Linked DNA regions of Mus musculus. The protein of the gene in region 1 purifies or fractionates together with the protein of each later gene. This does not show direct contact. Links are inferred from orthologs where the notes say so. Each region holds a gene or a part of one and is shown on either strand. Other genes may lie near its edges. The genes, in order: Usp15 and Glul.

Region 1 (15,803 bases):
AAATTTTCTAAATTCTAATTTAACTTTGCTTATGGTTTCCTCACTGTCTTGTCAGAACGGAAACAGACAAACAACTAGCATTGTGAGACTACCGATTTATTCCTTGTCAATGAGTGTCACCTTGCTAGCTCACCTGTCATAGGGAGAACTCTTGTACCACTGTTTACCTACTTCTTACTGCACGTCCAGTGCCAGTCGTACAGAATGCTCTCTTTATCTCAGCACAACTTGTGTACTCAAATCACCACCCATAAACAAATAAACAGAGATGGGTATTCATGAAGACCCAAATCAAATACAAATATCTGCCTAGGTAGTTGAGTTAGTTTGCAAAGTGCTCAGGAGCTAATGTGGTGAAATTTAACGCACCTCACTATAATTTCAAAACTCTGTACGAAGATTTCCAGATTATGGTAAGCCTATCTCTTTTTTTCTTAGTAGCAGAATCAGCATGAAGAACTGTATTAAAAGGCAGCATCATTAGGAATGTTGAGAACCACTGATTTACACAAAATAGAAAATTAACAAGGAGGTAAAACTTGCATATTTAGCTGCTGCCTAAAAACTGGACTTAAGTTCTTTCTTGAAATTAAGGCATTGTAACAACCCAAGTATAGACTTAACTTGTACATTTTGACGTGGTTTACGGTAACTGTCAAGAAAAATATACTCGCTTAAAAATAACCAACTTTAAAAGTAGTTTAATATCCACAATACAGGTATTTCTTAAATCATATATTACCATGAACACCAATTATACGTGATATTACTCAACAGAAAAACATTAGTGAGAAAACTATCCACATTCTAAAAAATATTTCTATTTTATCGGTAGTCATATTTATATTTGTATGATACAATAAATGAGTGAATTGGTTTTTAAAAAATGTTCTTCAATATACCAGAGAGAAGAAGCTTGAATTTATCTGTTAAGATCGCACAGGCCAAGGGGAGCATAGGTGTTCTAGGGAATGCCCGATTTCTTCTCAGCAATAAACTCCGTAAGAAAAACAAAAGCAGACTATAAGCAATAATGACTTAAGCCTCTGCAAGGCTGTAATGCAACAAGTGTGTTTTCCATCATCAAGGTTCTTAATTACACAAAGTGTTTGCCGTCTTACAAACTAAGGATCCAAGAACTTCAATTCAGGTCCCCCAGCTGTCGCCTATTAGCTAACTCGAAAATGATTCCAACCCCACAGCACTTGTCTGGAATTAATGGCAGAAATAAAAAAGATCACTAAAACTTAGTATTTCATGAATACCAGATAGTTCAGAATATTTAGCTGAATTAATATAGAGCAAACACAATAACATCGTTATTGCTCTTTGAACAGATGGAGATGCGGAGGCTCAATGGCTTGGATGAATTTGCTTCCAAGTCACACTGCAAAGTATGAGGTGGACCTGTGAATAAATCAGGTCTAAGTCTCTTTCCACCGCGCCACACTGGAGTGCCTAACAAGCACTTGAGAACTGTGAATAAATCAGGTCTTAAGTCTCTTTCCACTAGCCACACTGGAGTACCTAACAGGCACTTGAGACGCTATAAACCACTAGTACGGAGACAGAAGGAAGGAAAAGTAACTTAGGAAGAAAGAAAGAAAGAAAGAAAGAACGAAAGAACACACAGGCACACTGCCCTTCCCCTAAAACAGAACTTTCCCTTTATTTAAATAATTCTGTAAGTTAACTGCTTTGGCTGACGAGTGTTAAATTTTGTACATGCTTCCTCTAGTTATTTAGGTACAGTACCCTCTTATTTTGGCATTTTACAAGTTTGAATATGAGCAAGCCTTTAAGCTTCAAGTGGACTTATCTACTTTCTGCAGGCCTACGTTATCCTTCAAACCGGAGGGAAGGGCTGCACTTCCAAACAGAAGCGCTGCCGGCTCCTATCGAGCCAGGAGCAAAGCACAGGACCACGTGGTGCCTCTCTCTCTCTCTCTCTCTCTCTCTCTCTCTCTCTCTCTCTCTCTCTCTCTCTCAAGAAAAAAAAATTAAAAAAACAAGGTCCCTACACCGCTCCCTCCTTTTTGACAAGGAAGTGGAAATTAGGGGTTTCCTTTTCAGCGGAGCCCTGACACACACCACCTGTGTGGTCCCCGCCGCAAACATCCTGAAGCCCGGCTCCCGGAAGACTACAAGGATCGGAATAATGGGGAACTTGGGTGCGGACGACGCCGGGGAAGGAGTGACCAGAGAAGCGCGGCGGGCGAGCGAGGAGGAGCGGCGCGACCGGGATCTGTCAAAAAAAAAAAAAAAAAAAAAAAAAAAAAAAAAAAAACCAGCGGCAGGCAGGCTCACGCCGAGCCACTGCACCCGGGCTCCGCCAAGGCCCCAAGTGGGAGCGGCACTGCCGGAGGGAGGAGGACCCGGAGCCCCGCGAGCCCCGGCCGCCGCTTCCGCGCAGCCCCGGGCGCGCACCGCCCACCGCGAGCCCCGGCCCTCTGCGCCGGTCCAACCTTTGCCCCCAAAATCTGCTGCCTGAGCGGCCGCCGCCGGACCTGTCCGCACCTGTCACCAGCCGGCGACACCAGCCCACCGCTCCCGCCCAGCTCTCCGCCAGCCTCGGGCCCCCGCGGGCCCCGCGACCCCGTTCCCTACCAGGTGTCCCCTTTCCGGAGCGAGGTTTTGAGCAGCGTCGCGATGTCAGAACGCTGGGTGTCCAGGTCCGCCGCTCCGCCTTCCGCCATCTTCTTCCACTAGCCGTAGCGGAGGCGGCGGCGACGGCGGCGGCACGCCCCGGAGCATTGTGGGAATGGCGTCCCCGGCCCCGCCCCGCCGGCAGGTCTGTACCAAATGGGGCGCGAGGGCGGGGGTCTGGGGGCGTGGCTCGGCGGGGAGCGCGGCGGGTGCGCGCCTGCGCCCTGCTGCCCCCTCGGGTCCCCGCACGCCCCGCAGCACGGCGTGGTCGCCGCCGCCGCCCCAGACCTCTGAGTTTGCACGGTTCTCACCGGGTGCCGCGCTTTCTCTCCCTGCCTTTGCCCTGCCCTGCTCGGACTCTCCTTGCCATGCTGGCCCTTTTCTTGCCGCAGCCGCCTCCAAACCCATGTTTTTGCGGGTTCACTCCTACTGGAGGGCGGGGCCGGCTGGGACATGGCAGAAAGCGCGCAGTTCCGTGACTTGGGGCTTTTCCTTTCCAGCCGCAGAGCCCAAGCCCACTGAATATTGGCACAAAGAGGGCTCTGAAACCAAAGGTTTGGGCGCAGTGCCCTTCCTAGGTTCTTCCCAGCTCTCCCATGCTTGCTGTCTGTAGGGACTTCTACCTTTCATAAGCTCTTTGTGACGCCTCCTAGCGCGCGTGGACACACACACACACACACACACACACACACACACACACACACACGTTAGCTGCAGTGCAAAACATGTCCCAGTTTCTAGGTGAACAAGCAGTTAAAGATGTATTGAATAAGGCCAGGTACTGAAGGGGGTTAGAAACGTGGGAGAAACCTCATGGGCGTCAAATTAGCATTCCCCTAGATTAAATTTCATGGTTGTATATGCCTAAAGTTAGACTCGATAATACAAGCTGCATTTGAAGGCAACAATTACAAACGGGGAAATTGAGCCTCTTAAAAATCAAATGCCAAGGTCACACGGCAACTGGAAGTGCAAGGTTATCGCACAGATTTCAAATCCCCAGTACTCAGTACCTCCATGAAAGGCTGAATTAAGATACAAACTCCGTAAAAGCTGCAACTAAGTTCTCTTTATAATTTGGCGTGTGAGTGTGCGTGTGTGTGCGTGTGTGTGCGTGTGTGTGTGTGTGTGTGTGTGTGTGTGTGTGTGTGTGCACTGCGGTTTAATGGTCTAGTACCATTCTACACCATTTGAGGCAAACGTTTCAAAATTAACTAAGGCAAAACTGCTGTTTCTAAGAATGAAGACGGCTACCTCAGTAGAACAGTAGGTGACAAGTTAAAGGATGGGCAATGGTCTCTCCATTTTTTAAGCCTCCTAGTTTTGGTGGGAAACTCAGTAAGGAAGGGGGTGCCTGCATTAGTGAGGACTGCTGGCCCATCCAAGAGAAAGCAGTGTTTCCCTGGTTAGGGTTTGTCAGCTTGACAGAAACTAAAGTCACTTGGAAAGAGGGGAACCTTAATTATGGGATTGCCTCCCTTAGAGTAGCCTGTGATGAGTCAGTGGAGCATTTTCTTGTTTAACGATCGGTGTGGTAAACCCACTGTGGGCAGGTGGTCCTGAGTTGTGTAAGAAAACAAGCTGAGCAAGCCATAAAAAGCAGTGTCCGTCCACGTACTCTGCTCTGGGTTCCTGTTGAGCTCTGGCTGTGACCTTCCCCTAGCGTAAGCCACCCAGACCCTTTCTTTCCTAAGTTGCCTTTGGTCAGAATGCTTTGTTGCAGCAATAGAAAACAACTAGCACAACCGGTGTGTATTGGCGTCATACTTGAGTGAGTCAGTATGTGACTGCTTGTTTCTGCGCAGTACTCTCTTTGTATTACTTCAGCCTCAATGAGTCTAAAAGTCATTTCCATTTACGGCTATTTCTTATGTTATTTGACCACTCCTGATTATAAAACCGAGTTTTCCTAACTATGGACATTCTCAGTTGTTATATATCCACACCCCCCATCCCCATCTTCTACCACTCTGTGAAGGAAAGCAAAGTAAGTTTTCAAAGAGAGACAACTTGGTATGCAAAGAATATGCTGTATCCTCATACATACATGGCTTCGGATCTCTAGCTGCCAACACTTAATCTGTAGTCTATTTACAAATTTAAATAGTATAATATTTATCTTAAAGGATTTTAAAAGCATGCAGTGCATTTATTTTCTAGATGAGTTGAGTGTGTGCCTGTGACAGCCTACTGTGGAGATCACAAGTCAACGTTGCAGGCGTCAGCTCTCTCTACTATGAGGGTCTCAGGGGATCAGACTTGGGTAAGTCACAATTATGCCTGCTGAGCCAAATTGCCAACCTAGCCTTTTAACAGTTTTTGAACTTTACTTTATCTTATTTTTCAGAAAGGATCCCATGCGTCCCAGGTTGTCAGTGCAACAGAAGATGACTTTGAACTTATCTGATCTGTCTGCTTCCGCCTCCCCAGTTCTGGGATGTTTCTGCAGCACTGGGCATCAAGCCCAGGGTTTCGTGCTTGCTATGTAAGCACTCTTCTGCCTGAGTCCTATCTCTAGACCCCATTAAGGATTTTTTTTTCTAAAAAAAAAAAAATGAAGATTAAATGAAACAATATGAGTTTGTTGCCTGGAACTTAATAGCCAATCAACAAATGTTAGTAGGAAGAATTGGACTGATATCAGGATAAATTGTATAGTATGTGTGTTATATCTCAATAAAGCTATTCTTAACAAAGCATTCAGGACTTTAAAGGTAAAACTGTGTCATTTGTTATTTTATAAGCATAACAGATCCATGAAGTAATAAGGCCACTGCCCTCTCTTCTAGTTTCCCACCACACAGAACTGCCAAAGTCCGCGCAGAAAAACAAACAAACAAACAAAAAACCCACAGTCATCTTCAGCTACACTGTGTTCAAGAGGAGTCAGTTCACGTTATACGTCAGGCTGATGAGATCGTCTCTCCCGGGGAGACCTCGCTAGTTTGTATCACAGTCAATAAAGTGGTTACACACAGTGTTTCATTTACCAGGCACTCAAATACCAGGTGTTCCCTACTGCTCTCTGCCCCATTCCTTCGAGACAAGGTGTCTCTCTGAATCTAGAATGTACCTTGTTTCAGCTAGACTAAGCAGCCAGCACCTGCATCACACCCAGCCACAGAGATGTGACCGTGAATGAGGGATTACTACTGCTTATTCACAATCACTGTCTTCACGTTGCTTCCCCAAGTCGACCTTCTCCATTGGGATCTTCAGTTAGTTGTCGCTATCTTCTCTTTTTATTTCAGTGTGTGCGCGCCTGTCTGTGTGAGTGCGTGTGTGCACACAGAAGCCAGCAGAGAGTATCGGGATCTTCTAGCATTCTCCACCCATTTACTTATCTCTCCCTGAACTTGAGACGTGCATTTTCTTGGGTACGCTGGAAGCCATCGAGTCTCACTCACCCTCCTGTCCCTGCACCCCTTGGAGCAGGCATGCTGGGATGGAACAGGCATGTGCTGGCTGCACTGTGGTCCTCAGGTCCGCACAGCAAGCACCCCGTCTTGGTACTCTCTTAGACTTTCTGTACCGTTCTTGTTCATTAAGAACCCTAGGGATATGGGCAGGGAGAGGAGTACAGAGAGTCGGGTGCTTAAGAAGAAGGATTTACCGTGAGTAGAGCGGACCACATGGAAAATGTGCCAGTTTTGAAATTAGAGCTCTTCTAGGGAGGATTTTTTTTCTTCTTATCTTGTAATCGCTCTTTCTTCCACTCGGATTTGAACAGTCCCTTGTTCAACCTTGACAGATTACTGTACTGAACAATTGAGAGACAAAGCTTCATGTATAAGTGCTCCAGAAGAGAATAAGGCTTAAAACAAGGTGTCGGTTTAGCAAAACAAGAGAGGCAGGTTCTCCAGAACCTATGACCTTCTCTACCACAGGTTCTTAGCCAATTTTATCGTACTAGGAATGAGTTAAATGCTGTGGAGCAGATGTCAAATCTAATAAGAAAGTGCTTAGTTACTCCCTGGTTTAGCTTAGCCCAGGGAGTGGCACTATTTGAAGGGGTGGTCTTGTTGGGGTGGGTGTGGCCTTGTTGGGGTGGGTGTGGCCTTGTTGGGGTGGGTGTGGCCTTGTTGGAGTGGGTGTGGCCTTGTTGGAGTAGGTGTGGCCTTGTTGGAGTAGGTGTGCCACTGTGGGCCTAAGCTTTGAGACCCTCATCCTAGCTGCCTGGAAGCAGGTATTCTGCTAGCAGCCTTCAAATGGGGTCGTGTAACTCTCAGCTCCTCCAGCACCATACCAGCCTGGATGCTGCCATGCTCCTGCCTTGATAGTGCTTGCCCGAACCTCTCAGCTTGTGGGCCAGCTCCAATTAAACGTTGTCCTTGTAAGGGTCACGGTGTCTGGTCACAGCAGTAAAACCCTAACACTCCTACAGTTATCATGTTATTATTGCAGCAGTAGCTGCGTCTTGCCAGATAAGTAATTATTGTGGTTCCTGGGGTCCATAGCTGGGTAGGAACATTGGTGACTGACTACCATCCCCAAGCACCATGATAGCTACCCATCAGTGAGAAACTGCAGCACCGGTCCAGTGTGATTTCTCAGTGTCCAGTAACCCAAGTGTGTGGTCTTCAGCAATAGCGTCATTCAAACCAAGGGCCCTGGCATCAACCTGTAGTGTTGTGGTGACTTCTGGGGCTCTCTGACCAGACTGTATAGGGAGGTGTTCTACACCTAGTCCTGGAATTTTCATTTCATAACCTTTTAGAAAGTGTTATCCACGTATCCCTATGGAATTGTGAACGGAGAAAGAGTGTAAAATCAATGTCGTGTTTACTAATGAAACTGAATGGAAGTAAGAACAAGTGCTAACCAACCAGACAGCATACACTAGCTGATATGAGGCCCCTGACACACGTACAGCCTGTTCTGGCCTCAGTGAGAAAAAAACCACACCTAACCCTGGAGAAACTTAAGACCCAGGGAGTGGGGAGCAGGGGTGGGAGTAGGGGGAGTAAGGACATCCTCTTGAAGACTTGGGAAGGAATGAACGGGATGCGGAACAGACTGAGGGCGGACTGGGAGGGGGATAATGACTAGACGTAAAAAAAGATTGATTTAATAATAATAATAATAATAATAATAAAGAAAAAAAGAACAAATGCTAAGATTAGCTATGCCGGTTTTACAGTTTTGTAGCACTGGCTCGAAGAACCCAAGAGAACATCTACCTGAAGTCACGCGTTTCTCTTCTCGCTTCTTCCATGAGCTGTTCCCTCTTGTAACCCCGGCACCCACGCATTCTCATTCATCTTGTAAACCCCTATCCCCTGTTATATAATCTTGTAACTTCCCCTCTTCTCACCAGCTCCCCGAACAGCCAGGAGACGCCGAGAAGGCGGGGGAGTAGCGCAAACACAGAAATAGCGTGTAGTAAGTAAGATGCTTAATCTGCTAATGATATTTTGAAACTGGGAGTGTGAATAAAAACTGTAAGCACCACGACGCAGCTTTTAAAGCTTAAGAAATATCCTTGCTCCTCCGTCGAATGTTAGGCTCTGATAAAAAGAATGAAAAGGTAGTGACATGAACACAGTACCCCACGCCAGGCTACTTGGCTTTTGACGCTGGCTTGCTGCCACTAACATACCAAATATTTTTTTTGCCAAGTTATTTAATCTCTGTGAGCATTCATTTTTCTCGTTATACCAGAAGGTGATTAAAAGCATCGGCTTAGACACAAGTGCTTGCAGAGTTCAGATACTCCTAATGTCAATGGGTGAATGGGTGAGACAACTTCACTTTGAAGAAGTACGGAATGTGGGGACTCCACTGAGCTATGCGCCCCAGCTAAAGGTATTAAATAGAACCAGAACAAATAAATATCTCCTGCTCTATAAGATCTGAGAAGTTTAATTTTGACATGAGGGTAAGTCCTACAGATTAGTGTTGGCTGTTGCTTGTATCTGCTTTTCCCAAAACACACTTTGAAAGGTTATACTTTACCTAAAGGTAGGCAGCAGATGTCCTATACGTCTTGCTAAATGATGAGAAAATCAGGCTGATTTCAATCAATAAATTAGACCTAGTCTAACAGGTTTAAATCAATAGCAAAAGAATTTTGATTGAGATTATCGCCTCTGGGTTCTATAAATTTTAGGTGAAATATTTGCATATGGTGGGAAACTTTTCCAAAAAAAAAAAAAAGAAATAACTTAAACTATCTAACCAAGAGTGAAGTAAACAAAACTAAAGCTAGTATTAGAAAAAGAAAAATTTTTGTTTGTTTTTTTGTTTTTTGTTTGTTTGTTTTTTGAGATAGGGTTTCTCTGTGTAGCCCTGGTTGTCCTAGAACTCACTTCGTAGACCAGGCTGGCCTCGAACTCAGAAATCTGCCTGCCTCTGCCTCTGCCTCCCAAGTGCTGGGATTAAAGGTGTGTACCACCACGCCCGGCAAAAAGAAACCTTTTAATTAAAAAAAAAGTATTTATTTTATGTGTGAGTGTTCTGTCTCTGTGTATGTATACGTATGTGCACCATATACATGCCTGGTCCCTGCGAGGGTCAGAAGAGAGTGGGTGGGTGTCAGAACCTTTGGCACCGAAGTTATGAATGGCCATGTGAGTTACCATGTGGATGCTGGGACCTGAGCAGCAGGTGCTCTTAAGTACTGAACCACCTCTCCAACCTCTATTTTATATATTTTATTTGCTGCTTAACTTAATGGATAGACTTTAACGTTGTTAAGAATCACTTAAGAACGAATACTAACAAACAAAATACTAAACTAACAAACAGTTTAAGCAGCAGCCTCTGGGTCCTCTCCCAAGCCTCACTCACTCGCAGCAGACAGGACACAGAGAGCTGAGTGATTTAGAGGATGCTCACCTTGAGCTCTCACATGCTTTTACACTATGCATTTCATCATCTGTACTTCTATCACTTCCTCCAAGAGTCTCGCAACATCTCTGTGCCGGTGGGACTGTGAAACCCAGACTACCAAAGCGAAGTAGAGACGCTCATGGTGCACTGATTCACCAAACGTTCAGATTCCAGGGAGATCAGCATTGTCTCCTCCCGAGAAGAGACGGAATTATTCAGCTTTTCTGTTTGGACAGTCCTTCTCTTCATTTGGCCGGAGGATCGAAGAGATGTAAACTGCTTACAAAGGGCTTTAGACCGAATATAGCCGTAATCGTTAAAGAATATACGTGCTCCAATACCTATGGAACATAGAGAAGGCACTCTTCACAATACTGCCCTCCTGTTATCTGTCAGCAGCAGGGCACTTGTAAAAGTGACTTTATTCAGCTGGTATAACTGTCGTCTCTGAGGGTCACTGCCTCAGTCAGTTCACCTAGGTCTAGTCCTGGAAGCTTCTGGCCTCCATACAGTCTTACCTAGGCCTAGAATGTTTTCAGCCTCTAAGGCTTACTGCTGGATAAGCTCACCCTTTCTAGTTCTTTCTGAGCTCTAGCTGGCTGGTCAACCCAGCTGATCTGGCTCAAACTCCTCTCTGAGCTGAGTGATTCAACCTGGCTTCTCTCTCTCAGCTTCAGAATTGCTCTGCTTGGTCACAGACTAACTCTGGCAATCTGTCCTAATCTGACTCCTTCTCATTCTCTGGCTTGTTCTGTCTTCACCTGTGTCTAGCTTGTTCGCTCTTTCTGCAACCCGTCTCTATAACTGTTGCAATAAAACGTCTCCTTCCCCCTCTCTGCCCAGACCCTTAAGTTGCTCCCCTTTCCCCTCTCTTCTTGTGAGAGCTGGGCATATCCTATTCTGTCAAATCTTTCTCTCATTTGCCACTTTGTCTGCCACTCAGACATCACTGTCAAACATCGGCACTTCCTTCTATAAGTTAACTTTATCTTCATTGTTTGGGAATAAAGTTGTGTTCTAAGGACTAAGCCACACCACAACAGGAAACAGGTTTTCTCAGTAAACAACACAATCTTGGGGGGTCACAGTATGATATCATATCCTGTAACAGACACTACTGAACATGCAGCAGGCTTGGGTAAAGTTAGAAGACGCCAGTGGTGAAGAAAAGCAAGCTTGGTGATGTTATAAAAACATTTCTCATTGTTTCCTATGCTAGCCAGTATGCTTCTGCACAGGAACTCTTGGATTATGTTAATTATGTTTTTATAAACTTGTGATGGTCCAAGACTGCCACAGTCTGCTACTGGACCGAACTACAGAGAGATTCATGAGAAGGGCAAGAAATAATTGTATACTTCCATAGAAAATCCAACTTCCTTAATCATATACATCCCCCCTTCTATGTACTAGTTCTCTGATACTGGAAGATTTGGCTTCATTTCTTTTAAGTGAAGATAACTTCATACTTGTTCAAAAACTGAATTCAATCCTGAATATGAGGCTACTTGAGGGCCTCAGAATACGCGGTTGGACGGTTACTAATGTGAATGTTTAGACAAATTTATATTCATTAAGACCACAAAATTGTTATGTCATAGCAAACGGTTTAGTTAAAATCGAGGAGAAAAGTAATGGATCATATCAAAGACATCCAACTGCCGGGCGGTGGTGGCGCACGCCTTTAATCCCAGCACTTGGGAAGCAGAGGCAGGCAGATTTCTGAGTTCGAGGCCAGCCTGGTCTACAGAGAGAGTTCCAGGACAGCCAGGGCTACACAGAGAAATCCTGTCTTGTAAAACCAAAAAAAAAAAAAAAAAAAAAAAAAAAAAAAAGGACATCCAAATACTGAAAGTGTTAAAATGAATAGTAAGTATAACTTTACTCATTTTTTTTTTTTTTTTTTTGGTGAAGAATTTTTCTTGCTTTGCCTTGTTTTTGCTTTTATGAGATTATGAGACATGGTCTTGGTATCAGGCCAGCATGGCTGGAATGCACCCATGTAGCCTAGTCTAACCTGGCCTGTTGATCTGCCTTCCACTTATTGAGTGTTGGGATTAAAGCCTGAGCCACAATGTTAAATCTGTATGAAGAATTCTTATGGATAAAACAATGCACTTAGAAGCAGATAGTAGAAAAGATGATAAGGCATATACTATATGTTTATGAATATTCTCCAATTACATCATAGCATTACAGATAAAAGACATGATTTTACCTATGGATTGATAGCCGGGAAGGCAGAATAGTGACTCTGGATAGTGATCGCCATGTTCTAATCTCCGAATCAGTGAATGTGTTATAGTCATGGCTTAAAGGGACTTCGTAGATGAGGTTAAGGTTACAGACCTTGAAATGAGGAATTATTTAAGCGAGTCCAAGCTAACCACAAAAGTAAAAGAAATGTTTTTCCTGTGTTTATAAGGTGAGAAGACTACGGGGACCGAGCTTAGAAGACGGGATAAAGAGCCACGAGCTAGTAGTGGCGTGGATGCCTTTTGGAAGCTGGGCAAGGCCAGGAAATATGAGCTCCCTTCTAAATTCAGCAGCAAGGAGCATAGTGTCACCAACACTGTGAGTTTCGCTTCATTAGATTTGCATCAGAAGCCTAAGCCATGTGACAATGCTCTGCCACTCTCTCTAGTCACAAGGTGGCTGGTAGGTCATTATACAGCAGTAGAAAACTGATAGACAAATTGTAGAACAGAGTACCTCTAAGAAAGCCAAAACAAAGCAAAAACTAGTCAGGCCTGGAATTAGTCATTGTATCCACTTACTAAAAAGAAATGTGACTTATCATAGATTAAAAATAAGAAGAAATTGGATTGATATTCTCTGGGTTACAGGTTGGAAAAAAAAGTAGAAGGCATATCTGGTGAGCAATGAGCTCTGAAAGGACCATGTGCAGAGTTACAGGCACAGGCAAGACTTTGGTGATTATGGGATTATTTTAACTTTCAGAAGCAAAACCATCAAATTCCTAACATCAAATATTAGTAAGTGACACTTAACAAGGAACACCTAGAGCTTATAAATCATGCTGATTGCATTTCAGCTGGTCTGCAGAAGCCAAGAATAAGTAATGGTTGATAACCAAAGAGATTCTAGACAAGCTTCCACAGAACAATCGGTGATGCACCACGCACAAGAAATTCTACAAAGACTTCCAGTAGACCCTCGGAAGCAGTTCAAGGAAGTTAGGACAGTTGCCTCCTGAACCATATTAGGGTTCTCCAGGCAAAAAGAGTCAACAGGTCATAGGCACGGACAATATAGAGATGTAGAGAAAAGCATTTATTAGGAAAGATTGGTGACTAAGTCTGTATTCCGTGGTGGCGCACGCCTTTAATCCCAGCACTCGGGAGGCAAAGGCAGGTGGATCTCTGGGTCTGAGGCCAGCCTGGTCTACAGAGTGAGTTCCAGGACAGCCAAGGCTACACAGAGAAACAAACAAACAAACAAACAAAAAATTAAGTCTGTATTCTACCATCCCTAAACTGGAAATGAGAAAAGTGCAAGTTCTTTTCAAGTTCGCAGCCCCGAGAGCTGTAGAAACTAGTAATGTTAACTCCCAGTTTCAATCTGAAGGCTCAAGTACTTGAAGAACTAATCCTGGAAGGCAACAGAAGACTGACAGCCTATTCAAGCAGAGGGGCTTAGCACCTCCTCCACCTTTCTGTTCTTGTCCATCCCTTAGAGTTTTGGGTGGTGTCTGCCTTCATCAGTGAGTGTAATTTTGTTTTACTTGGCCTATAGATTCAAATGCTAATCTATCCTCGGAGCATCTGCAAAGACATACCTCACCTGCCATCTACAGTGCAGTCAATTAGCCCTTGAGTTGACCATCAGAGTCATGCATTACAGTCTGAGAAAACCGAGTCAGGTGACTTATGAGAGCAGAATCCATAAATACGCATAGACCAGGATATCACCGCCACGTAGAAAAAGGAGGCAACAGTACAGAGGAACGACAGGGCCAAGAAGTGGGAATGGGTGGGTGGGGGAGTGGGTGGGGGAGCGTGTGGGAGACTTTTGGGATAGCATTGGAAATGTAAATGAAATAAATACCCAATTAAAAAAAAAAAGAAAAAGGAGGCAAGAAATCGATGTACATTTTTTTTCAGTTTTTAAAAATTCTTTAATCCGTTTTTGCAGTCCAGTCTTCATCCCTTTCTCGCTCTACCCCCCAGACTGCTCCCCACCCCTACCTCCTCCCCCATCCCCCACCCCACCAACAGTATTATTTTGTCCTCTCTTCCTCTCCCCTTTGTTCCTCTCTTCAATCCTTTCTATCTCTAAAGGCGTTTGATAACAATTGTATAAGGACAGTGGTGAGTGTATATGGCTCCTTGGTGAGCCCTTGATTGAGTGACTCGGCAGGGAAGTTAACTCTAGGTCTACTGACTACTTAACGAGGTGATTGGAAAGGAGAATCAGACCAAAGTGTTGTCTGACACAAAGACCATCTCTAGATAGGGAGCTAACAGCATAGCCAAGTCACAATACCACCAAAGACCAGGTCAGGGAACAAATAACTGAACGGGACTTACGGAGCAGGGGTGAGAGGTTGCTCATAGGAACATGGGTGGCTCGGAGGCAGCTGCACCAGCATAGGCGCAATCTGGCATGGCTGACAGTGTGCGAAAGCTGAGACCCTGGAGCTCTCTGCACAGCACGCAGGCAACTCTACAAGGTGGGGCGCACCCTCACCTCAAGAGTCCGCACTGTTCATAAAACCTTGGCGGAGGAAAGACCTTGGGTATCTTGGTAAGTTTCAGCAAGCTCTTGAGACTTTGAGGTTGTTTACTTCCTGAATCTTGTACAACTTCTTGAGTTGTAATGAGCTTCCTCCAGGAGGAAAGATTTTGGTTCGGAGGAAATTGCTGTACAACGGAAGAAAAAAGAGCAACACCCAAATCCCTGTGTTTTAACCAAAGCAATGATGGGGTAATAATAACACCCTTTAGATGAGTGGTTCTCAACTTTCTTAACGCTGCGACCCTTTAATTCAGTTCCTCATGTTGTGCTCACCCCCAGCCATAAAATTATTTTCATCGCCACTTCATAACTGCGCTGGCTACTGTTATGAATTGTAATGCAAATGCCCGATATGCAGACTATTTGATATGCAATCTCCGTGAAAGGGTCGATCGACCCATAGGTTGAGAAACTCTGGTTTGGAGCGTAGTGTTGTATGTAGCGTTCTCCCTGCTTTTGAATGCCTCCTCTAAGTGGCGCAGTACAATGAGCTTCCCTAAGTCCTTGGCGAGAAAAAAAAAGCCGCTAAGTTTTTTTCATGAAGACAATCGAAGTGCAAACTTTAGACAGTTAAGAGAAGTGTCAACCGGCCAGACCTCCTCTCCCTCCCGCTCCCCCAAGCTCCCAGGGACTAAGCCACCAACCAAAGAGTACACATGGAGGGACTCTTGGCTCCGGCCAGCCACACATGTGGCAGAGGATGGCCTTGTTGGACATCAGCGGGAGGAGCTGCCCTTGGTCCTGTTGGGGTTCGATGCTCCAGTGTATGGGAATGCCAGGGCAGGAAGGCAGGAGTGGGTGGGTGGCTGGGGGAACACCCTTATAGATGCAGGAGGGAGGGGGGAACCTGGAAAGGGAATAACATTTGAAATGTAAATAAAGAAAATATTCAATAAGAGAGAGAAAAAAAGAGAGAGATCAAAAATAGACACCTCACAAATTTTCTACTGTTAACATGGTTCGCGGCTTGAAAACACTAATTTCCAGTTGTTAAAAGTTCTGAAAAAGAAACAAGAATTGGACTTGGTGGCTTGTAAGCTCTGCTCCAGGGAGGCAGAGCAGCACAAGGTTGAGGCCCTCTTTAGAAGTCTTCATAGGGAATTCCAGGCTGGCCTGCAAGGGTCTGTAGTGAGAGTCCGTTTCAAAATATCAGTGTTCCCACCCAGCGTTTTTTTTTTTTCTCACCCGCCTTTCAAACACAGAGTGGGCAGACAGCGAAAGGAGGGAACTTTGCTTCAAGGGAGTACAAATTCAAAAGGGGAAACAGAAACTCGGAGCCCTTCTGTGGTAATAGAGCGCCAACCAAGAGAAGTTGTGAGCTTTATAGCCCTGAGCAGGCTTTGGAGTACCTGGAGGGGCTTGGCAGTGCAGTGGGAAGGAGTCCCCCTGCCTGCTGCTTCCGGGGAGTCCTGGAGGCTGGAGCTGGGAGAGTCTTCCATAGTTCTCTTCCTCGAGGAGTCAGAAGCCTCAGGTGGCTTCTGATGCAACTCTCTGCATAAGTGTGGAGCTGGGCTCTGGTGAACGGGTGCAGACACAGATACAGTAAAATCAGTAAATAAAAACACATT
Region 2 (15,788 bases), on another chromosome or scaffold:
AAAAAGACCTTGGTATTCCATCCTTTTGAGTTACAGTGGGGACAACTGGGAAAGGGAAGAGCTGGGAGAGGGATCACTGGAAGTCTAGTCCACTTAGTTCTTGTATTGGAAGGGTTCGTCGCCTGTTTCGTTGAGGAGACACGTGCGGACGATGGCTTCTGTCACCGCATAGGGGTCACAATTGGCAGAAGGCCGACGGTCTTCAAAGTAGCCCTTCTTCTCCTGGCCGACAGTCCGGGGAATGCGGATACTGGCACCGCGGTTGGCAACACCGGCAGAAAAGTCGTTGATGTTGGAGGTTTCGTGGAATCCAGTCAGACGCCGGGCGTTGTCCAGGCCCCCCTTGGGATCGTAGGCGCGAATGTGGTACTGGTGCCTCTTGCTCAGTTTGTCAATGGCCTCCTCAATGCACCTAGTGGAAACAGTGAAGATGAGGGTCCATCGACAAGGATGGGAGCGGGCATGAATCCCAGAAGAAAGAAGGCACTGTCTCCCTCAGGCCAGTCTTTAACATGCAGTGCAAATTATCCACTGGATGGAAAGACCCCCAATCACTCGCCTCTTCCCACCAGTAAGAATTAAGTTTCCCATTTGCTTGTATTTTTACTTAGTTCGAATGCTTTTCTGTCAATTCTATTCCTAAAGTATTTACCCTATCGCCTCTCCAACAGGCACAAACTGACAGGCTTAGAACAAATATGCAGAGCTAGGCATGTACGTACAGCCTTGTGAGTACCCAAAGCCCTTCTACCCCATGAGAATACAGACGGCTCCAAAGGAAGGTACTTACTTCAGACCATTCTCCTCCCGCATGGCCTTGGTGCTGAAGTTGGTATGGCAGCCTGCACCATTCCAGTTCCCTGGAATGGGCTTGGGGTCAAAGGTTGCTATCACCCCAAAGTCTTCGCACACCCGATGCAAGATAAAACGGGCTATCCAAAGATGATCTCCCATTCGGATCCCCTCACAGGGTCCTATCTGGAATTCCCACTAGAGAGAAAAAGTTGACCTTTAAGATCCACCCTCTGTGATTGCCCCACTTTGTGATCCACCCCTGCTAGCCCGAAGTCCCCATGTGCCTACCTACCCAGGTCTTCAGAGAGGAGGAAAAAGATGGGCACCATTTACCTGGGCAGGCATAACCTCCGCATTTGTCCCCGTAATCTTGACTCCAGCATACAAGCAGGCCCGGTAGTGAGCCTCCACGATGTCCCTGCCGTAGGCCTTGTCTGCTCCCACACCGCAGTAATACGGGCCTGAAGGAGGTTCAAGACACAGCAGGGAAGAGTCAGTCAGGGAATCCAGGAAACCCCAAAGCCCAAAACTAGGAGGGCCTAAACCTGCTTTCCTGAGTCACTAGTCCTGCCTTCAGCTGCAGGCGGGAGAATTTAGGTCATTCCTTCTTTGCCTCGGCCTCGGTAGAGGCCCTGCTTGCTTTTTTTGAGTGGCTTTTCATTAGTTTTGTGTGTACTTGCATATTTACAGTATGGTCAGAGGCTAACTTGAGGGAGTCATTTCTTGCCTTCTACCAAATGGGTCCCAGGAGGAGATTCAGGTTGTCAGGCCTGGTGGGTAACCACTGAGCCATCTCACCACTCTCTGTCACTTTAAATTCTAACCACCTCTGGATGTGAGGGATGCAAGGTCGGTCTACTGTTAAGATTCTGCTGCTGGTCTCCATTTTCTCATTTCAGGATTGCACCTATCTCTGGGGAAGGGGATTTCCTGGACAGTAACAACTTAGGGGAGGAAGTTTCACCCTTTACCCAGTGGGACGTACCTTGGGGTCCAGGGAAGCCATTGGAAGGCCAACCAAATGGGTGGCCGTCTGTTCCCATAAGAGTATATTCCTGCTCCATTCCAAACCAGGGGTGCTGGTTGCTCACCATGTCCATTATCCGTTTACAGATGTGCCTCAAGTTGGTCTCTAGAAATAAAGAATCAACATGCCATCAGGACTAGAGCCCTCTCACACAGCTCCAGTGCTGGTCACAGGAGAGACTGACCCAGGCCTAACCACCATGTTTTATCACCAAGGAAAATGGAAGAAGTGATAATTGTCCATTTGCAGGAAATGGCTAATAGACTTTTTTATAATTAAAGTCAGCCACGCAGCATCATGGGAATGGAATCCGAGCAAGTGGTCACCCTATCTGCATGCTGGCCACCATCCCAACACCACACGCCAGGCACTCATTCTCAGATTCACAGGACAACTGCTTCTAGTTGTCAGATGTATTCCCTAGTGTCTCAGACACTGAAGGCCAGATCTGTTATTGAGAATAATTTGTCCATTAGGTTCACATGCCAGGTGAGTTTAAGTGCTAAGTTTTACAGTTATGACTGGTACAAAAGTAGATAGGTAGACAGACATACAGACATATAATTATATATGAGTATAGCTGAAAACAATTCCCAAGCTAGAAAAAAAATAACCATCTGAGTCTAAGGTATTAACAACCTTCATTTTGGCAGGGCATGGTGGCGCACACCTTTGATCCCAGCACTTGGGAGGCAGAGGCAGGCAGATTTCTGAGTTCAAGGCCAGCCTGGTCTACAGAGTGAGTTCCAGGACAGCCAGGGCTACACAGAGAAACTCTGTCTTGGAAAAAAAAAAACAAAAAAAAACAAACCAAAAAAACCTTCATTTTCACAAATAAGAAAATGAAACCCCAAGAGAGGGTGTTAGGTGGCACACCCAGGTGACAGGACAGGCACAGAGCACACCTTTTACCAATAATGCTACTGCCTTTTGAAACAGAAGCACTGAAGGCCCAGGGCCACCAAGCCTTACTGGCATTGCTAGAAGATATTTCACAGAAGTGAGACTTCCCCAGGTTCAAAGCTATCTGAAAACGGAGATGGATAGCACAGTGCAAACTAAACTCCACGCATGTGCAGGCAGGGTAAATGCACATCCCGAAGTCTCGATGCTCATACTTGTGAGTATTCAGACTCAACAAGCTGTCTGGCATAAAATAGTAACCGATAGTTAACGTGCAGTACTCCCAAGTGATTGTGGCACACGGTCATTCATGTGATCTTCCAATGACTTCGGGATGGGCTCTTATCAGAGAAGACTACTGAGACGGCTCAGTGGGTAAAGGTGTTGCCACTCGAGCCTGGCAACCTGAGTTCCACCTCCAGAGCTCACATAAACAGGCAGGAGACAACCAACTCCAACGCTGCCCGTTGACGTCCACGCACCCAGCAAGGCATGCTCTCCGACGCATGCTCTCCACATACAGCACACACAATTCAGAAGAAAAAAAAGCAGGTAGAACAGTGGTAGATCTAGTATTTAAATTCAAAAACTACAGAACTTTTAAACACAGGCTTTTAGATCAGCAGGTAGAGGTTGCCCGTCAGCAAACAGACAGAAGAGCCAACACTATACAAACAATAAAAGGAACCATGGAAGAAAGGATTGAGCACACTGTTCCCAACAGGAAAGTTCAGGGTAGAATAGCCACCCTGCCATCCCTACGTTCTTAGAGAGCGGCTTCTCAATTCATTGAGAATGTCACCTCCCTAGAGTTTCAGGATTTACAGCCAGCCACACCCATCCCATACTTGCCTGCAGGTTTCCGGTTATACTTGAAAACTTCACATAGCACCAGCTTGTTGGGGTCTTTGCGGAAGGGGTCTCGAAACATGGCAACAGGATGGAGGTACATGTCGCTGTTGGAGCCTTCAGACTGAAAGGTACTAGAGCCATCAAAGTTCCACTCAGGTAACTCTGGGCAAGACAAAGATAGAAAATTAAATTAACTTTAAACGTGTTATTTGAGCCTGCAGGAAGAAGCCAGACGAGGAGGGTTGGATCTCCCGGAATTGAGAGTTACAGATGGTTGTGAGCCACTATGTGGGTGTTGTTAACTGAACCCAGATCGGTGAGAGCAACAAGAGCTCTCAATCACATGAAAGCCCACAACTGTCTGTAACTTCAGTTCCTGCGGTCCTCACTCTTTGATTTCTGCTGGCACTGAGCACATGGAGCGCGCGTGCGCGCGCGCACATACACACCCATATACATACAGTTTTAAAAGTTTTTAGTGCACACGCTAAGAAGACGGTCAGCCTCTTACTCATCCTTTCGTTGCTCACCACCACTTTGTCTTTATGAGGAGTGAGGTGCATGTGACTGCATCTACATCAGGGATAACCTGACGTCACCTATCGCTGTCACCTATCCCAGTTTCTCCTGACCTGAGAGTCCCCAGAGCACTGCATCCCAAGAGCCACCTGAGCAGAAAACCAGTCCTCTCTGTGCAAGTCTCCTGTGTACTCTGGTATCACTTCCAGTGTGTCAGACACACACAGGACAAAACCCAAAACAAACAAAAAAACCCCACCTCCTCCTCTAGGCCATCATCATCTCCCTTCTCCCATTCCCCACAGGTCCAACTGTTGTACTTCAAGTTATGCTTGTATATAAACAGTTGCTTCCCCACCGCTTGCTTGGTCTTTTCCCTACTGTCTTAGTGGTCGGGTTTGACTCTCCAGTTACCTCTGAGTTCTCAGAAAGCAGAGACTGAAGAACCTACCCACACTCTGCCAAGTACCAAGTATACAATCCATGCTCTGTTATCTGGTCACTCGTTCACTCAAACAGAAACATCCTTGGAAGAGTAACCCATCCTAAGCCAGGTAGATGGTGAGGGGGCCACCCCTCTCCTGAGCAGCTATGGCTTACTTGGTCTATGCTGAGAAACACAGGCTACAACTAAAATAAACTTAGAAGTATATACAATTATAAAGTAGCGGCAAAAACCATTTTATGGTTGGTGGTTGCCACAACACTAGCCTTATTAAATGGTGGAAGCATTAGGAAGGGTTGAGACCGACTGTTCTATAAACTAGATAGCATATTCCAGTTACACCAGTCCTCTCAAACTAGGTTCCTGGGGTTGGCCAGGTTAGCACACAGCAGCCTCCCATCCCCCACAAACGTGACCCAGTATTTTTCTTCAATGTACCAGCACACGCCAGAGTCCATCTAAAGAAAGGCTTCCATTGTTGCTGCGCCTCCAGACTATGCAGCAGCTTACTTACGGGTGACTGACTAAGGTCTGAAAAGCCTTGCAAACCAAACAGAAGGAAGGTGGATCCGAGGCTGTGCGTACACTCCCAGGCGTGCGCACACTCCGCCCCGGCACTCACCTTCCACACACTTGGGCTCACAGTCCAGGGTACGGGTCTTGCAGCGCAGTCCTTCTCCGGTACCATCAACCCAGATATACATGGCTTGGACTTTCTCACCCTGGGGCAGGGACATGTACATTTGCTTGATGCCTTTGTTCAAGTGGGAACTTGCTGAGGTGGCCATGGTGGAAGGTGTTCTGGAGAGAGACAGAAATCGCATTTTATTAATATCGAATTCAAAGGGATCCACTGTAGGGGACGGCAAGGGAATCAGGCTGGCGTGCGTGGTGATCTCGCTCCTCTGGGACTGGACACACACAAAGGTGCATTATTCACTCTGCTTTCAAGGGGTTTAAAGTTTTATATTAGACAAGGACCATGCCCCCTCAGGGGGACTAGTTAAGGGATTTTAATAACCGTTAAACTTGAGAAATGTTAGCAGGAGAGAACAAATATCAAGACGTTCATTAACAGAATATCTTATTCTACCAACAGAACTACCTTATTGCCACAGAAAGACTTGACTAATTGACTGTTGAGTCTTGCTTTGTCTTCCACTCTTTGGAACAGCCTTTTTTTTTTTTTTTGGAGACAGGGTTTCTCTGAATGGCCCTGGTTGTCCTGGAGCTCACTTTGTAGACCAGGCTGGCCTTGAACTCAGAAATCCACCTGCCTCTGCCTCCCAAGTGCTGGGATTAAATAAAGGCATGTGCCACCACCGCTCAGCTCTTGGAACAACCTTAAGGGACACACAACCCATTGTAATCCCTACATACCTACATTTAGACTATCTACTTATTTGAGACAAAGTCTCATTGTGGAGCCCTGGAACTTATGCCGACCAGGCTAGCCTCAGAATCAAATTAGATCTGCCCCTCTCAGCATCCTGAACGCTAGAATTAAAGGTGTATGCCACCACCATCTTTAGATTACACAATGAAATACTAGGGCTAGCTGTAAGACTTTAAAGGCTAACATATTCCTGGGAGAAAGAAAGGACCTGTATTATCTGCCACCACTAAGGTGGTAAAAAGTAAAGCCATACTCCAAGGAGCACACTGCTGACTGGTTTTTTGGTTTTTTTTTTTTTTTTTTGAGACAGAGAAATCTCAACAAGCCCTCTCTCTGTCCTAGTAATTACTTACTCATTATTTACACCAAGCTTTCCTCAAAATCAGAGGATCTACCAGTCTCTGCCTCCTGAGAGCTGGGATTAAAGGTATGCCCCCTCCACACCAGGCCTCAACTGCTGACTTCATTACTGTGGTGAAAAGCCTTACTCCAGAGACAGATTTCAATGTGAAAATTAACAGTATTTGACGATCCCACCGGATAATATTTTCTGGTACGTAGAAAAATCCCACTTCTAAGTTTACAAGCCACAGGAGTCGGGGCAAGATCTTCGATGAATGTGAGGCTACAAAAAACCAGCCTCAAAACACAAGAGGAAATGCCCCCCTCCCTCCCTAATCTCCCCGGATAGCTGGAGAGGGAACATATTGTTCTCCTCCAATGACTTGGGCAACTTTCTGAAGTACAGTGGCAAAGTTTCTATGGGCAACCGTCCATGTTTGCCCAAGTGAAAACAACTGCCTCTCCCTCCAAAAGCCTCACCCTTCCCCCGGGGAACAGATGAGCCTCTGCTGTCAAGTCCGATGCAGAACCAAAGCCTCTGCCTACACCACTTAGAGGCCCGGATTGTAATTCTAGATGGCTTCAATTTACACCACTCATCAGCTTTCCTCCTCTGCCGTGCCCCCCGCCCCCCACACACACACATCCAGCATTAATGAACTGTTAGGGGAACCTGAGTTCCTCCTCTGGCCCTGGTTCCCTGAGACCAGCTGGGTGCCAGCAGCCTAGTGTACATAGATAGCACCAACTGGTGTCCCTGTAGTGCAAAGTGGAATGGGTTCTTAAAATTCTGAGTAGTTTCTGCGGGTTGCCAGATGCACCCGGGGTCCTTCGCCCTGACTTTTACTCACCCCAGCCAATGAGAATCAAATGCACTGGGGTTGTACTCTCTAGACCTCCTCTTTTTAGAGCAGTGTTCATGCCTCTCCTCGTTCTCGATTTCTCGCTGGTCTAAGCAACGGAGCTTTTTGGGCGAGGGCGATGGAGTGGGGGACCCAGACCGTTCGGAGGGGGAGGTGCTGGAATAAGACGGGTGCGATTTAATCTTAACCCTCGACTTCTCCCCGGAGTTCACAGAGTAGGCAACGAAGCCTAAAGTATTAGAAGGGGACTCTGAGGACCGAGAATCTCCATCTTCTACGTCTTCAATGGTTGGTTTCTTTGAGTATTTGCGGCTGGGGGAGGATCCCCGCTTCCCGCCCCCGGAGGAGTTGGGGCAATCCACTTTGAAAGCAGCCTTCCCACTAAAATGTCCGGAAAGTCGGTGCCGCGACCCTCGGGCCCGCGTAGATCTCAAGGCCTCTCCCAGGGGGCCATACCCCGGCGAGGGTAGAGGCCGGGTGGCGAGAGTGGGGCGACCGCGGGAGGCACAGCGCGCCGCTGCTGCCTCCGCTTGGCGCGGCCTCTCCACTGCGGAGCCCGCCGGCCACTCCGGGGCTCCGGCTCTCCATTGTTCGGTCATATGGTAAAGGCCTAGGACACGGCGTTGGGAGCTGGGGAGTGGTGCCATCAACGCTTAGGACCACCATCCTCAACCAGACCACCCACAGCGTGACGACGCCCCCCAAATGCGCCGCCAGGAAGAGAGGATCAAGGCGCCTGCGCCCACCTAAGGCAAGAACCCTCTCCCGCTGGGACCACCGGAAAGCCCCCATCTCAGCGTGAACCCCAGCCAACGGCGCCTGCCTCCCGGGGCGGCGCCTCCGGCCGCAAGTATAGAACAGATCAAAACAACCCGCAACCCCGCCCTTCCCGGAGCTTGGCTCACAGCGCGTCCTAGGAACACCAAGCAGAGCCGGCCCGGGCCGCACGCTGCAAACACGCGGGAGGCACGAGCGCTGCATCCCGCTCCGTACAGCAGCTGACTGGAGCTGGGAAGTAGAGTGCGACCCCACAGCCCGGGCGGCCGTACATTCCTGGACCCTCCGTGCGCTTACCAGAGCGGTGGCCGGCCGGATGATGGATGGGTGAACAGGTCAGGAGAGCGAGGCGGAGAGGAGATGGGTGAGCGTGCTGTTCAGACACTCTGCTCTACTCCCATTCTCCGCTCTGCAGGGTCGCTGGCTGCTCGGTACTTTTTATTGACAGCTTGTGCCCGCCCCCAGTCGCCTTGATTGGCTGACCTAGGCCAGGAAACCCGCGCCCATCAGCTGCTGCGCGCCGGGGCCCTGAGGCCATTGGCCGAGGAACTGTGCGGGAGCCTCAGGGTGGGGCGAGCGAGACCCAGAAGAAAGAAAGAGAAAGGGGAGTGGGGGAGGGGAGGCAGCGGCGGCTGGAGGAGGGCCAGGGCCGAAGGTGCAGGATGCATTTGCAGCTTGCGTTCTTAAGCGACCTCTGGACCCTCGGACCCAGGCTGAGGCTTCCTCAGAGTCATTTGGCCTCGGCTCTTTGCTTCCTTAACGGTACAGAGGTTTTCGAGGAGATCTGTCACTGAAAATCCAGAACCCCAGAAGAGAATTTTACCCTTTGTTTGTTGAGCGAGCCTGGGGACGGGTTGGGCTGGGGAGAGGCAGGGAGCCCTGATCAGGCGCGGGGAGAGAGAGAGAGAAACACGATTCCCAGAACCTGGAGGACCCTATCTTCCTGGTTTCCTGAGTGGATTTGGGGGAAGTGGTCAGACTGTGATTTCACGGTTTAAACACAAGTGTGATGTTTCTATAAAGAGGATTCTGGACGTCCATAGTCTATTTGATGTTGCCTTGTGTGTGTGTGTTCCCGTCTCTCAGCCTTTCCTTGGATCTGCAAAATAAAGCAGATGGAAGGACTTTCAGAGCAGTTGACCGGGAAAGCAGGGTGGCAACATGCCTTTAATCCTAGCACTCAGGAGGGAAAGCGGGGGTGGCACACGCCTTTAATCCTAGCACTCAGGAGGCAGAGGCGGGTGGGTCTCCTGAGTTCGAGGCCAGTCTTCTCTACAGAGGGAATTCCAGGACAACCAGGGTTTCACAGAGAAAACAAACAAAAAAGCAAGAGGGGTGGGGGGAACCCCTGGCTTTGCTTCCCAAGTTGTTTTTAACTGTGTGTGTGTGTTGGGGGAGAGGGAATGAGAGTTTTCTCTTTCCTTTCTTAACCCTGCAGTGATGGCTGAGATAGTGTGTGAATACTGTAGTGAGACAAGCTGAAAATGTGCACAGAATTTACCTGTAAAAAAATAGACGTGGCCCATATATTGTTATTAATGCTATGCTCTGAGCAGTCTCTTTCTAGTACATGAAATCCACCTCATGGCTGGGCTTTATCTTTCAGGACTTCTGGCATTCGAGATGAAGTTTTCTCTCTAGATGCCAGAAACCCACGCTCTCAGTGCCTTTGGAAGAGGAAGGGATGAAGTTTGTGCTTCTGCTTCTGTGTATGCACCACAAATATGAAAAAGAAAGGTTGCCTGTGACCCCACACACATAGCTCGGCCTGTTAGGTCAACCTCTGTCAATTTCCCCTGAGTGTGTCTGACACAGTGGCTCACAGAAGCAGCATGCCCCACAGGTGGGGATTTGAATAGGCTTTGGACCAGAAAGGCACCTTGCAAATTCTGTGTCCTAGTCAGTACTGTGTGAAGCGTTTTACCATGAGGTTGTTCAACAGCGGGGCTTCACGTCGGGCAAACCCAAGTTCATTCTGAGTAGTAGCCAAATTAGTAGCCACACAAGCTCTGTCTTAGCATTTGTAGCGGGGATGACAGTGGGACCTGGAACATGAGGAGTGTTAGGAAGACGATGTCATCTCATAGGTCAATATAATCTGAAGAGACTGAGTCGTTTCTTTCCATGATTACTCTGTGTGTGCATGCATGTATGCACACATGCACGTGTGTGTTATACACTGCATCCATATGTGTAGAGGTCAGAGGATGACTTTAGGTGTCTTCTATCACCCTCTACTTTTTTTTTTTTTTTTTGAGACAGGGTCTGACATTGAACTTGTAACTGCAACTTAACTAACTTGGTTGCCCGGTGACTCCCAGGGATCTTTCTGGATCTGCCTCTGCACAGCTTGAAGAAGTTACCTGCATTGCAGATGACTTCTTACATGGTTGCTGGAGATGAACTCCGGGACCCTCATTCTTTTGAAGAGAGGACCCACCAACGGCACTGTGGCACTGGCACTGCACCCCCCCCCACCCCCCACCCCCTGCCCACTCGGGTGATGCAGCTTTCTGCCTCCGTAGTGAGCTGCGCCATTACTTAAGGAAGTAAGGTGTAGACTCAGCAACAATGGGCTCGGCTGTCTTCCCATTTCTTCTTTTAACTCTTCAGCTTAGGTGGTTAGAAAAGGGGTTGTCAGAAGGGAGAGATGTTGTTCTTATGTTAGGAGATAGTGAATTCCAGATGGCAGCTGCCGGTCATCAGCCAGGGCAGCCTTCAGCACTCCTCACCAGGCTCCACAATGGGAGCAGTGAACACGATAGAAAGGGCAATATTCCAGAGCACATGTGCTGTTTTCCATGGGTTTCTTGTGTTTCTGCCATGTGAGTGCCCGCTTCCCTTCCTAGACATGTTAACCTCCTTGGCTGCTTATTCTCCCGTAGCCCTCGAATAGTGTCCAGACTGTTCAATAAACACGTATTGACCCCACAGTACCATCAGCGGCAGCATCAAGAGAACATTTGCTCTGTTTCCAAGAATAGAAGCGGATTTGCTTTGATCCTTTCATGTGACCAGGAACATCTCATGTGACCACTGACTTTCAGGGGTAAACAGGCAGCTTTGCCCCCTTGGTCGGCCCCACATGTGTTTAAACCAGCCGAAGTAGGACCCAGACAAGTTCAAGGACTGGACTAGGGAGCTTTGAGTGTACCATGGAAGAAGAGTCCCTCCTTAACTGGCTTGCCCTCTGAAAAGCCACCTGTACTCTTAGAGAAATTAAAAGAACAGCCTGTTCCTCCACTTTGACTTTGCTATGTCTGTCCTTTATTCTCCCCTAAATTGCCACCGCCTCCATTTTCTGCCCCCCCCCACCCCCCGTAAAGGCGGCAAGCGATTGAACCCATGAACTTTCAGTCCAGGCCCACACAGTACCAAGGCTAATGGGGGTCTGATGGCAAGTGCTTTGAAGTTGAGTTTCTCACTGAATTGAGTTCCTCTGTCCCCAGGGTGGGTGGATTGGGAGAGCAATATTGCCAGGAAAGAGCTTGGACTAAACTTGCAGAGATAGCCCAGAACGAAGCACGTTCCATCAGTGGTGCTCGGCTGGCTAAACTGATGGCTCGAGTAGGCTTTCCTGTGTTCTTATACATTCTTTCTCTGAAGCTCTAAAGCTCCTAACCTAGTGTCATAAGAGGACAGCTGTGTGATTACCTTGTACCCGTGATGCAAAGTTTAGGATATGGTTCCACTGAACCCAAATCGTAGACTGTAGCTGCTGGGAGTGGAGTTGGCTGCCTGTGTGGCTGATGTCAGCAGGCAGTCTGTGAAAACTTTAAGCTGAAGAGACACAGTGTGGACTCAAGTTGCAGTCACCCAAAAACCCAACCCAGAAGGTAACTTGTTTGGTTCTTTATAAACCCAAATTAGATCTGACCAAAAGAATGGAGCATAACAAATGTTAAAACAAGCACCCACCCACCCCCCAAAAAGGAGAAAGATCACTGGAAGTCGGTAGCATTCCTGGACCCTGTAAAGTGTATTTACAGGGCAAAGTTGTATTAAGTCCGCCTCTCAAACTTCACTCCGCACAATGAAAGAAGGCAAGACCAGCTTGTCCTTGAATTCGATAACCTAAGACTGGTCACGAGAGGGAGTTTTCTTTACATAGCTTAATCACTTGATACTCTTCAGTTTAAGAGAAGAAATTCAAAGTTGGGATGTCAACTGTCTTTCACCTCATTTGAGTTTGACCAATGTTCAGTGAAGACACAGAGAGAGAGAGCACCCCATTTCTCAACCTGCATATTAGTGGAAGGTTTGGGTCTGTTTGGACTCTATCTCAAAGCTTGCCTCTGCTAGGAAGTCACATGAAGGGTTTGGGAAGAACCAAGTTCATCTGTCACAGCGTGGGAAAGCAGGGGTCCTACTGAGACTATGGAAGCCACAATCACAATTCTAGAGTTCAACCCCCATGTCTGTCTTTCCTACTTGTTTCTGGGACAGGCTAGACAAGCAATCTATTGCTGAGCTATATCCCCAGCCCACCCTTTATTGTGTTTTATTTATTTTTTATTTTTTTATTTCCAGAAATGGGATTTCTCCATGTAGCCCTGGCTGACCTAGAACTTGCTCTGTAGACCAGGCTGGTCTCAAACTCAGACCTTTGCCTGCCTCTGCCTCCTGAGTGCTGGGATTAAAGGCGTGTGCCGCCACCACCACCACCACCACACCACCTGTGTGGAAGTCGGGGGACAACTTTCAGGAGTCAGTTCTCTCCTCCCACCATGAATTCCAGGACTAGACCTGTCAGGTTTGCACAGTGGCTGATGCCTTAACCCACGGAACCATCTTTCTGGTCCAGACACTTTGCTTTATTTCCCAGAGTACATACAGCTCTGTTTTTGTTCATTATATAGCTGCTAGATGGTTTAAACTTTACTGAAGCCCACTTGAAAGTTTAGGAAAGTTGGCCTGTGGTGTAAAAACTGAATTGAAACAGTTCTTCAGTTGGTTACTTTTCTCAAAGGAGTCCACAGCTGGGCCTGCGCAGAGCCTTTTATCCCTCACCCCTGACCCCGTTAGCTGGTTTGGATCCCTGTTTATCTCATATTTGTCAATTTTTAACTGGAAGCACACAGCCCTATGGTATGTATTTTGGATTCTTGGGCAACATTTAGCCTGCTTCTGGGCTTTCTCTCTCCTCCCCCATTTCTTCTTTTAAACTGGTTTTTGAAAGACTAATATATGCTGGGGTTGGGGACCGAGGTGCTTGGACTGACTGATGGTGCTATTGTGCCCTCTAGTGGTGGCTTGTGAGAATTTCAAACATCGCCCCAGAAGGCTTGAGTCTGAAGATTTTCTTGCCTCTGTTACATATTACATATGATAATTTGATAGCACCCAAGTGTTTCGCCTACACTGGCTGTTTGAGAGATATTATATTCATATCACTGCCTGATTACTGGAAGTTTGTCATAAAATTAGTCTTCAGAAGCCCAGAAATGGGCAGCCTACTCTGCTTGCTTCTCACCCCACATCAGTGTGCAAGGAAGGTGGACAAAAAAAGGACTCTGCAAAATCAACTGAGACAAGTCTAGGGACAAAGAATAAAGGGGAAATGGATTCAAAGGTTTGATCATAAACAAGCCTTATCCTCAGCCCTCACTTGGGTCTGAGCCCAGAAACGTAAGGCAAGCCAAGAGTTGAGAGTACGCCAGACTTTATTCTTAGGAGAAGGGGAGTTGGGCAGAAAGTCTCACATAAGCTTGTCCTTTAGGGGAGTCTAGGGTATTTACACTGTGCCACTTCCTCTACCAGGATTTCTGGCTGGCCTCACCCGTTCTCCCTCTGCTCTTCTTCCCCTGAGTCCTTGTTTAATCTTGGGGATAACTTCCTTCTCCATCGCAGTTAGGGAGGGACTGATACTCCTATTGTTATGTTATGTTACATTACTCACTCGGTAGCCTGGGTGACACTGTCAGACTTGAGGCTGACATGAGGCTTAAATAGCTGACCTATCTCTTTTCTCCAGCAAGTGGACCCATAACAGCAGTTTCCTTAGAGAAGTACATATCACAGCAGTGATACTAGCTGGGGCGGGATGTGGTTCTGTGGGCAATTGCTGGCGGGCTTGGGTCTCACCCTCAGTACTAAGCAACACAACCAAAGCACCACCACTAATATCAAAAGACTAAACAACGTAGGAACAGATTTTGTGCCTTTACTCTCCCCAAGGACAAGGAAAAACGAGAGAGAAGGTGACCTCAGGCTTTAGGATGGTCACCCAGAGGTTGGCAGAGCATCTTACCTGTTGTGTAACACAACGAGAAGGAAGGATGGGTGGGGTGGGCAGTGGAACCAGATGAGTGGAATCAGGAGCTGCCACACAGTTGGAACACACACAAGGAGTTGTGTAACTTAGATACAGCAAAGCCCTTCTTCTTCTGAAACCTACATGTTGGTGAGAGAGAACTCCCCAAGGAAAATTATTTCAAAACCAGGACAAAGTCAGATGTGTCAGATGGTTAGGGAAAAAGAAAGCAGTGTTCCTGCAAGTGGCCCAGTGACAACAGAACAAGAAGATCCATGTGAGCTCTCTCTGCCTTGTGAGTGCTCACTGCCTCGGTAGCAGAAGGTTGCAGTCTGTGTGTCAGCTGAAAGACAAAATAGAGATTATAGAATGGCTTGAGATTCAAAGAGGAAAAGTTGCAAAACCCAAGGGTAGTGTGTAATAAGTTCCACATGTAAGGGGGTGAAGAAAGCTTTTGCTAGGGTAGACATACCAAGCATGGACATTCTAAAAATCCTGGATAATGTAAATTTATGTGATTATTAAATTACCTTTTAAATGACTATGTATAATTTGAAATGAAGCCTGTCATTAAAGATCAGGGAGGGGACGGTAAAAAAAAAAAAAAAGAGGAAAGGTAAACTTTACTTATTATTTCTGAAATAGGATTTACCCCAGCTGGTCTCAGATTCAATAGGCAACCAAGTATGATCTTGACCTTTTGATTCTCCTGGCTCTGTCTAGAGGCTGGGGTTGTACATATGCTTTTTGTGGTGCTGGGAATTGAATCCCCCAGGGATATGAACATGCTAGGCAAGCATTCTGTCAGCAGAGCTCTAACACCAGCCCCAAAGAATATAAGTTCAACCTGCATCATATCCACCTTTAATCCCAGAACCCAGGAAGTGGAGGAAGGCAGATCTCCGAGTTTGAGGCCAGCCTGGTCTACATATATATTGAGTTCCAGGACAGCCAGGACAATGTCATGAGATCCTGTCTCAAAAACAAAACAATAAAAAAGAATCAATCTACTTCATCAGAATAAGACAACTGATGCCAGGTTTGAGCTGTGAGGAATCTTTATTCCCTCAGGTGAAGCATTCGGTGGTGCCTCAGAGAAACAGCGCTGAGTGCAGAATTCTGGGCTTGAGCAGAGATTCCTCTCTTTAACGCCATTGTTTCACTCTCTCTCTTTGCCTGCATGTAGAACTGTCCCCCACTCTTCTTCCCTCCCTCTTCTCAAGTCCCATCACGCTTGGGTCTCTTCTCCTCAGCATTAACTGCAGGCTCAGAGACAAGGAGCACAAACTGCCATCCTCCAGGGCCATTGCCTTCACCAAGGAGCAAAGGTTGCACTGCAAGTGCCCAGGAGAGCCCACAGGAGGAAGATGGGGCGGTGTATATGCCCAGGTATTCTAGGCCCGGTCACAGGGAGAGATCTTTGAAAGGAGAGGAGCCTGGTCATCTTTGTCCTGCTGCTCTGCCTCCTGCAGCAGCTTGTAGAAGGTTCCTGAAGAGCTCTCCTGATACAGCGCTTCCTTGGACCCCATCAGCCTCAAGCTGGGACTGTAACAACGGTGCCAAAAGGAAGAGACACCATAGATTCCCAACATGCATAAGGCATTGATCATCACATG

What was found.
Region 2: the proteins of Usp15 (region 1) and Glul purify together in Homo sapiens (affinity purification with mass spectrometry; 3 studies listed by BioGRID, with this or other methods). This does not show direct contact. The link is inferred for Mus musculus from reciprocal best matches to the Homo sapiens genes USP15 and GLUL.

The regions. Positions count from the first base shown.
Region 1 is NC_000076.6:123,194,220-123,210,022, forward strand, and holds the start of Usp15 (ubiquitin carboxyl-terminal hydrolase 15), read right to left. Parts: upstream 2,801-15,803; 5' UTR 2,697-2,800; coding exon 2,608-2,696; exon of another isoform or gene 1-2,607. UniProt on the Homo sapiens protein: Hydrolase that removes conjugated ubiquitin from target proteins and regulates various pathways such as the TGF-beta receptor signaling, NF-kappa-B and RNF41/NRDP1-PRKN pathways.
Region 2 is NC_000067.6:153,892,488-153,908,275, reverse strand, and holds the start of Glul (glutamine synthetase), read right to left. Parts: upstream 8,348-15,788; 5' UTR 8,217-8,347; intron 5,343-8,216; 5' UTR 5,330-5,342; coding exon 5,164-5,329; intron 3,740-5,163; coding exon 3,578-3,739; intron 1,928-3,577; coding exon 1,781-1,927; intron 1,257-1,780; coding exon 1,129-1,256; intron 991-1,128; coding exon 791-990; intron 413-790; coding exon 94-412; 3' UTR 1-93. Other genes in the region: Teddm1a (transmembrane epididymal protein 1A), read right to left, coding at 15,567-15,788. UniProt on the Homo sapiens protein: Glutamine synthetase that catalyzes the ATP-dependent conversion of glutamate and ammonia to glutamine.